Linked DNA regions of Arabidopsis thaliana. The protein of the gene in region 2 interacts with the protein of the main gene of each other region in a pairwise test. Each region holds a gene or a part of one and is shown on either strand. Other genes may lie near its edges.

Region 1 (5,215 bases), on a different chromosome or scaffold from region 2:
TATCTGAGGCTTTGCTACTAAGTTCTAATAGCTTTCAGATTTGTATGTATCTCTCTATAGGAAAACTACATGTAAATGTTATTTCTTGATGATTACAGTCAACAGACTTTTTTTCTTCTTGTGTTTGGGGAAACGGAACCAAATTAGAATTTTGGTTTGATCTTTGGTTGTGATTTATATATCATAATCATTATATAAAAGTTAATCTTAATGAACTTTGGTTTATTCAGTTAAATTTTGGTATAATCTTTTCAATCTATTAGGAAAGTTTGTTTAGTGTTGAGTTGATGAAGTTTGGTCCGGTTCAGTTTCCACCAATGTTTGGAAGAAAAAAAAATGCAAGAGCATGAGAGGTCCTACCGGGAGTCGAACCCAGGTCGCTGGATTCAAAGTCCAGAGTGCTAACCACTACACCATAGAACCTCAGGTGCTTGTTCTGTTGCATGTACCAGTTTAGAATCTAATCCAAAATATTGTATTTTAGACACGACCAATGAATAGATTCAACATCAGCAGTTCAGCAGCACCACAGATTGCAGTTTTCTTTGTCTTTATCTAACCAAACAAAACAAAAATCAATATTTTACTTGGTGACAATGCATCATATGAGACCATCAAACTGGTGACAGTGAAATAACAAAGATGAATCTCACAAGACATAAACGTTAAGAAGATTACACTATGTAGCAAAAGAAACAAGGGTGATCTTTTTGCTACTAACAAGTCAGAATCTGAAAATTATGGTAAGAAATCCAGCTTAACAACAGATTGATTCTAGCTATACTCCAAGAACGAACCTATTGCTTCTCCTAAATCCCCAAATTTACTGAGTTTCTACTTCGAGTGAAAACCGTGGCAAATCCGTTGCGATTCTTCTCAGAACTCCCTCGGTTTGATGACATAATTAATGACACTGTTGTTGAGTCCGAAGAAGATGAACAAGGAGGTGAGGTCTTGTTATTGCTGTTCTGGATTGCAAGAAACTCAAGTGATCTTCCATTGATTGTTTTGATGCACTCATGAGGATCTTTTCCTAACAAAGCTTCCTTGTTGTGAACTGACCTTGCAGAACCTGGAATGCTAGCTGTATCGATCAAGAATTCTTCTAGTGTTGCAAGAGATTGTAGCTGTTTCCCAAGTGATGCTATTGTTTTCTGACAATCTGCAAATTTTCCTGCAGCTGTTGCTATGTCTTCCTGCAATAGAATCAGCTTTTAGTGAAACAAGGATTAAGAAAAAGAAAAAAAGACTAATTGGTGATCAGAAAAATAAAAAGCTATACCTGTTTGATCTTTGGTTCCACTTTTTCTCTCTTGATCATTGTCTTCTCTTCTATCTCTCTTCTAAGCTCTTCTTCAAATGTCTCACACTTTTCCTTTAGCCCATCAGAGACAATCCTCTCCTTTCTCACCTCTGCTTCCATTCTGGTCACCCGAGATTCGGCTTGTGTTTTCGATTCATTAGCTAGTTTAAGCTCCCTTTTCATCGCTTCCAACTTCATCTCAACTTCTTGAAAACAAACTCTAGATTCTTGATATTGATCTTTAATTACGTCAAAAGATATCTTTAGCTCAGCTTTCTCAGCTTCCATCTTCTCCAACTCATCTTCCATCTCAATTTTGTCACCAACTACAGCTTCGAGTTCTAAGCTGAATCTCTTCTCTGCTTCTTTACAACAAATAACTTCACTGTCAAGCTCATCCTTTTCTGCTTGTAGCTTCTCCAACTTTGTGTCAACTTCTTGAAAACAAACTCTTGACTCTTGATATTTATCTTTGAGCACGTCAAAAGATGTCTTTAGCTCAGCTTTCTCAGCTTCCACCCTCTTTAACATATCTTCCAACTCCATTTTGTCACCAACAACTGCTTCAATCTCTAAGCTCAATCTCTTTTCCGCTTCTCTACAACATTTAACTTCTCTTTCAAGATCATCCTTTTCTGCTTGTATCTTCTCCAACTTCTCCATTAAGCTCAATTCATATCCATCCTTGGAGTTTTTAGCCTGTGTCTCAGTAGGAAGAGCCACAAGACGTTCCATCTCAAGGAAATCATCCATGAGATCAATTTCAGTTGATGAAGTAGTGCCCTGAAGACTTCTATTGCCGCCTTTTTCATTCTTGATTTGATCTAACTCAGAAATAAATGCTGATGATGCCCATGAATCAGAGCAACTCCCCTCAACTCTCTCCCTTCCTCCATCTGAATGACTATCCACAGATTGATTAGATGATAGCGATGATGATGTTTTAGCCAAAATCCTAAGCTTCCTGCACTCAGCTTCGAGTTTCGCCAACTTCTTTATGATGTCTAAATGCTGCTTACTAGCAGTTTCTGCTGCTTGAGTGCTCAAGTCCCTCTCAATCATCACAATCTCAAGGTCTTCACGCTGTGTAAGAAACTCGCGTCTCAGCATCATGTTTTCAGATTTAGCAGCTTCTGCTTCTTTCTGGAGCTCAAGAACTCGCTTCTCTAGACCAGTGTTAGCAGAATGCAACTCCTTGGTGCTCTCAGTCACAGCTGCTTGAATATTCTTCTCTTGTTCATCTCTAAACTGCCTTAGTTGTCTCACACACTCCTTAAGCGCCCCATCAAGATGACTTACCCTATCTTCCAAGACAATGTTCTTATCAGCCGCATCCTCGAGCTTTTGCTTCAGCTCAACCACTTCATTCTCAGCTTTCTCCCACCCTTGAAAAAAAACCACAAGAGAAAATGCTTTCACTATAAAATGCTAACTCCAGAAGCAGGATCAGAAAAGGAGTGACTAATTACCAGCAACAGCATCTTCTGCAACTTTGGCATGTTGTTTCACTAGCTCATCTTTGGAATCCATAACTGGTTCCAATATCAAAGTAGTACCAGTCATCATCAAATCACAAACTTAAGTACCTTAAGAAGAGAAAAATAAAACAAAACCAAACAATTTTTTAGGAACTTTTGAAAACATATGTATAAAAAAAAAGAGGTAACTTGGCTTATCAGCTTTCCCAGATTTTGCTTTCAGGACACTCTGACAACAAATCTTAAGTACTTAACTATATAATGGACTGGACCACAACATTTCCCAGAAGAACACAAAACTGGTAATGATTTTAGCAATCACTTCATAACATGTCATTAAAAAAGAACTACAACAACATCTTTCTGTTTCGTTTCGTGTAATGAACAATTTGTTACAGAACATTAGAAAAAAGAGTTGAGGAGAAAACAAGATTACCAGACTAGAAAACAGTTGCAATATGATATGATTCTTCAAAACCAAGAATAAATAACATGGCCAAAAAAGCGAGAATTTCTTTCTTTTTGTGGTTGTAATTCTTTACAGTTTTGAAATGTCTTTTTTTTTCAATTTTCAAAAGAGGAAGAGAGGGAGAAGATATCTAACTTTTTCTTCAGCATTTAATGGAAGAATACAAATTTGAAAAACTTTTTCTAGTTCCATGAAATAAGTGGGCTGCTGTAAGATATCTACCACATATTATTTGGTCCAAGCCCATTAGTTTAGATATTTCAAGCCCAATGAGATATATTGCACATTTTATTCATATTTCACATTAACATATTTATTTATCTGAAAAAAGAAAAATACAAATACAAAATGAAAGCCGAACTATGATCAATAATATTAAATTTTTACAAATAATTACCATTAAAATGCAATATATTGTGATGGGTGTTGTTGCTATGTAAGTAACAAAGCAGCGCTAAGTGGATAAATATTGATACAAACTGTAATGAATTAAGTATCGTCTAATAAACTTTTGGAAATGTTGTAAGTTGATAATAGTTCCAAGTATACGTCATTTTCTTTAGTTCAAGACTTTGAAATTTGAATCTCACATGTTGTTGTCACTCATGAATCACGACCTACGTTTATACATATAGACCATACATTATCATTTAATATCAAATTATTGTCGTAAAATCTCATATTTTGTACATATATATACTATAATGTTTTAAATATAATCCCCATGTCGTTTTATACCATTCGCATTTTCGTATATGCTATAGTGTCTATATATACGCAGACCAATGGGGCTTACGTCCTGATCAAGGATTCTTTGTCTTGGTGCTATATTTTTTTTGTGATACTTAAATTTAAGATTTTCTGGATCAATATAAATGGGACTATTTTATGAAAATTTTCATTTAATTTTTCAAAATCTTTTAGGTTAGGTAAAAGAAAATAGGTAGGTGGTCCTCCTCCTAATCTTGAATACGATCATCTATTAAAATGGTCCCGTTTAACCCTACAGCCAACGCTCTCGACAAAAGAAACAAAACAATTACGAAATTCATGCAAAACAACTATTAAAAAAAAATTCACTCACCTATTGATATCAAAGGTCAAAGAAAATTTGTCAAACGGTGGCAAATAATCTTAGATTACCATAATCAACAAAACTACTCGACAAAACATTCAATTACGTACTATTTCTCTTTGAGATTCTTGACTATCCAACTTCGTTTAAACTTGTTTCGAGAGCTAAAAATTACTTTTAAAACAGCTGGTTAAGTTTCGATTTTTCAAAAGAATGCTTTAAAAAGTTTCCAAAATAAAGTAGACAAAAGTCACAAAACAAACAAATGTCTACTCGTCCTTTAATTAACCTAAAAATTAGGTTTTCCTTCGCATCAGTCTTACCACATTGATAAATTCTTATATAATTTTCTTTGGAGGAGTCACATTGCTTTCCTACTTTTGATTGAACTTAGACAAACTAAAGCCACTTTTTTCTTTGAGTTGTCACCTCAAACACAATAAAGTTCAAATATCAAAATCAGTTGCAAATGAATCAACTATTGATTTCAACATTTTAACCAATTTCGTTCGAATCAAAATGAACTTGGTAAAACTTACATACATATGATATGAACAACTCTCCACCATAAACGGATGTGCTATACCTATCTCGATAATTTCTAATATGAATGTATCACAAAAATCTTTAGATTTGGGATTTGGAAATAAACAATGTATAGAAAAGAGACAACTATAAGACAATGTGAATGGGGCAATGCTTTGGGGTCCATTTTTTATGCTCAAATGTTTCCCACTATTGTGAACAACCTAACATGGACTCTTCTTCTTGCATTATAACTTGTACTACTCTCTTTTTTTCTTTAGGAAATAATAAAAAGGAAATTAAGGTGAGCACTAAAAGTCATAGAAAAAATTTCAAGAATCCCATGCAAAATATATTAAAGCAAC
Region 2 (4,443 bases):
CGATTCTCTCCATATGTAGAATTGCTTACTTTTATTTTTTTGACTATAAGTATAGACATGCTACTTAAGATCTATTTAAAAACCCGGAAGATATCAAATATATAGGATATAGGATACCCTCTCTCTAGGAATTAATCATGAACCTTTCCATAGGTTCAGAGATTTACCAGAAATTATAAAAAAAAATCAAAGTTTGAACTAACACTTATAAAATATATATTTCTAACCCGAGAAAAAGAGACATTGTCTAAACATGTAAATTTTATTAACAAATAGACGGATAAAGCTAGCAAAGAATTAGAGTGTGACAAAAAAATATTGAAAATATGATTGCTACTAGATATATTAATACTTTATAAAAACTTGTTATAAAAAAATATCCAAAACTATTTGACTTCCTATGATATTAGTTCCAAATAATTTAAATTTTAGATATTTAGATATTTGGTTGTCTGTATAGATATCTTCTTTTTCTGAACTGCAATGGATATATGCATTTATAAATATGATGACCAGAAACTTTTAAATTTGGATAATTGTTACCAATTTGGAAAGACATATCATAAAACAATTTACTTACAATAATAATAATAATAATAATAATCTTGTGGATAAATTATCAAAAATATTTTGCTCTATTTGCTATTTATTTCATGAACTCTTATATTCACTTCCTTTAGTTTTAACCAATCATTATGCCATGGCATATAATAATTTAATATAAATTAAAAGTTAGACAAACAAATAAAATAAATAAATTAAGAATTAATTGTAAAATCTGAATCATATGCCCTTTTTTATAAACTCATAACAACATATAATTTCATTAATTCTAAAATTTAAACTTTAACCACTTTTTATAAAGAGTAAATTTGGAAAAATGCCCTATTTTTGAGTTTTCATTTGAAAAATACCCTATTCTTTCTTCCTTTTTAAACAATTAATTTTTAATATATAAAAATACTAAAATAGCCTCATTAAAATTTAAGAATAACTTTTTAAAAAAATAAACTTAAAACAAAAAAAATTCATAAACTAAAATTTGATGTAACTAATAATTTTAAAGATAATTATTATCTAAGCTGATATATGATTTTATTTAATTTGTAAAAACTATAACGCAAACCACTCTTCTATAAACGTATATAAAATTTTTAGATATTTATATTTATAAATATGACTGCAGAAGTTTTAAGTTTATGATAGTTTTTAAAAAGCAATTATGATAGTTAGTAACAATTTAGAAACACGTATAATTTAATTTCTTTGTTTATTTTTCAAAAATATACAAAAAATTTATGTCAGCGATTTTATTTTATTTTGTATGGTATATGACTAATTTAAAAGTGGTACTAATTAGTATTATAAAAAATTATTAAAAAGTATTTTTAACCTTACGACTCTATTTTTTTACAAGTTACAAATGTTTCATAAAATTTTATTGTTAAAACACTATGATCTAAGATATTGAAACCCACGGTCAAAGTATTGCTAACATGGTCATTACATTGAAAAAGAAAATTAATTGTCTTTACTCATGTTTATTCTATACAAATAAAAATATTAACCAACCATCGCACTAACAAAATAGAAATCTTATTCTAATCACTTAATTGTTGACAATTAAATCATTGAAAAATACACTTAAATGTCAAATATTCGTTTTGCATACTTTTCAATTTAAATACATTTAAAGTTCGACAAGTTGCGTTTACTATCATAGAAAACTAAATCTCCTACCAAAGCGAAATGAAACTACTAAAGCGACAGGCAGGTTACATAACCTAACAAATCTCCACGTGTCAATTACCAAGAGAAAAAAAGAGAAGATAAGCGGAACACGTGGTAGCACAAAAAAGATAATGTGATTTAAATTAAAAAACAAAAACAAAGACACGTGACGACCTGACGCTGCAACATCCCACCTTACAACGTAATAACCACTGAACATAAGACACGTGTACGATCTTGTCTTTGTTTTCTCGATGAAAACCACGTGGGTGCTCAAAGTCCTTGGGTCAGAGTCTTCCATGATTCCACGTGTCGTTAATGCACCAAACAAGGGTACTTTCGGTATTTTGGCTTCCGCAAATTAGACAAAACAGCTTTTTGTTTGATTGATTTTTCTCTTCTCTTTTTCCATCTAAATTCTCTTTGGGCTCTTAATTTCTTTTTGAGTGTTCGTTCGAGATTTGTCGGAGATTTTTTCGGTAAATGTTGAAATTTTGTGGGATTTTTTTTTATTTCTTTATTAAACTTTTTTTTATTGAATTTATAAAAAGGGAAGGTCGTCATTAATCGAAGAAATGGAATCTTCCAAAATTTGATATTTTGCTGTTTTCTTGGGATTTGAATTGCTCTTTATCATCAAGAATCTGTTAAAATTTCTAATCTAAAATCTAAGTTGAGAAAAAGAGAGATCTCTAATTTAACCGGAATTAATATTCTCCGACCGAAGTTATTATGTTGCAGGCTCATGTCGAAGAAACAGAGATTGTCTGAAGAAGATGGAGAGGTAGAGATTGAGTTAGACTTAGGTCTATCTCTAAATGGAAGATTTGGTGTTGACCCACTTGCGAAAACAAGGCTTATGAGGTCTACGTCGGTTCTTGATTTGGTGGTCAACGATAGGTCAGGGCTGAGTAGGACTTGTTCGTTACCCGTGGAGACGGAGGAAGAGTGGAGGAAGAGGAAGGAGTTGCAGAGTTTGAGGAGGCTTGAGGCTAAGAGAAAGAGATCAGAGAAGCAGAGGAAACATAAAGCTTGTGGTGGTGAAGAGAAGGTTGTGGAAGAAGGATCTATTGGTTCTTCTGGTAGTGGTTCCTCTGGTTTGTCTGAAGTTGATACTCTTCTTCCTCCTGTTCAAGGTACATTACCATAGTTTTTGTGATCTTTCATGAGTTTGTTGAATTTGGATTAAGAGATGATTTTTTTTTTTTAAATCTTCAAGATTGAGTTTTGCTTGTTTAGATCTTTGATTATTGATTAGGGTACACGACATTGAATCTTCTTTTGGATGTAGTGATATCAACATATCATTTTACGATTATTAGATTCCCTTAGGATGGATTCATTGTGTGGCATTGTGATTGGTTTGTTGTGTTGTTAGCGTTTTTGAGTCTTTGGCTTTTCGTTTTATTTCGTGTCTTTCACTAGGTATCTTTTAGGTGTCTTAGAGTTCGATTTTTGGCCATTTTAGGTATTGTTAGTGGAAAGAAACAAAGTTTGGTGCGTTGTAGTTACTACATTGTTTGTGTTTCCATTCCAAGGGAAAAAGTATGTTCAAAAATGCACAATGTATCAAGGGATTATCGATAATATTCGAAAGCAAACATTGTATATCTTCTAGGCTTTGCAAAGTTTTTGTTGTCTTTTGTTTAGTGTTTTACTGAAATACTTACTTGTGTTTGAAGCAACAACGAACAAGTCCGTGGAAACAAGCCCTTCAAGTGCCCAATCTCAGCCCGAGAATTTGGGCAAAGAAGCGAGCCAAAACATTATAGAGGACATGCCATTCGTGTCAACAACAGGCGATGGACCGAACGGGAAAAAGATTAATGGGTTTCTGTATCGGTACCGCAAAGGTGAGGAGGTGAGGATTGTCTGTGTGTGTCATGGAAGCTTCCTCTCACCGGCAGAATTCGTTAAGCATGCTGGTGGTGGTGACGTTGCACATCCCTTAAAGCACATCGTTGTAAATCCATCTCCCTTCTTGTGACCCTTTGGGTCTCTTTTGAGGGGTTTGTTGTATCGGAACCATGTTACAAATCCTCATTATCTCCGAGGTGTATAAACATAAATTTATCGAACTCGCAATTTTCAGATTTTGTACTTAAAAGAATGGTTTCATTCGTTGAGATTAATTTTAGACCTTTTTCTTGTACAATGTTTAGTCTTTGAGATAATATACCGGCTTGTCTAATTTAAGTGTGATACATATTAAAGATTGTCACGCTAAGGTTAAATTATTTAAAGAGGATCGTCTTCGTTTCTTATATGTTTTCTATTTTCTGTTGGTGGTGATAACTGTTTTTCTTACATCAACGACGAAGATTTGCCAATACTTGGACACCCTTCAACAGAGCCGGCCCAAGATAAATTCTTCCCTAAAACAAAATTTATTTTTGGCCCATCATTAAATATAATCTACTCTATTATTTGAAACGTACATTTAATGAGGTGGGCATTTCGCAGAAATAACAAGTTTGTCATTGAGTTAAAATTTTTCTATCATGAAAAACCCGTTTAAAAAGACGCGGATCCTTTTGACCCGAATTTTAAAATAACGGGTCATAACTTCTAATCTTAGCCATTCAATTGATTTTTTTTTAGCCGTTGATTTTCTCCAGTAAAGTTTTGAAACCCGACCCGGATGATGAACCGGACTACCTTCTTGGTCACCGGGTCATCGGGTCAACCGGGTTGGACCACGGGTCAATTAGT

What was found.
Region 1: the proteins of AFP3 (region 2) and AT1G21810 interact in a two-hybrid assay, tested with the Arabidopsis thaliana proteins (one large-scale study listed by BioGRID).

What each region holds. Positions count from the first base shown.
Region 1 is NC_003070.9:7,655,769-7,660,983, forward strand, and holds AT1G21810 (filament-like protein (DUF869)), read right to left. Parts: upstream 3,400-5,215; 5' UTR 2,870-3,399; coding exon 2,773-2,869; exon of another isoform or gene 2,689-2,772; coding exon 1,283-2,688; intron 1,197-1,282; coding exon 810-1,196; 3' UTR 551-809; downstream 1-550. UniProt on the Arabidopsis thaliana protein: Ensures, when in complex with FPP3/VETH1 and COG2, the correct secondary cell wall (SCW) deposition pattern by recruiting exocyst components to cortical microtubules in xylem cells during secondary cell wall deposition by recruiting EXO70A1.
Region 2 is NC_003074.8:11,381,691-11,386,133, reverse strand, and holds AFP3 (ABI five binding protein 3), read left to right. Parts: upstream 1-1,988; 5' UTR 1,989-2,476; coding exon 2,477-2,867; intron 2,868-3,413; coding exon 3,414-3,718; 3' UTR 3,719-3,920; downstream 3,921-4,443. UniProt on the Arabidopsis thaliana protein: Acts as a negative regulator of abscisic acid (ABA) response and stress responses.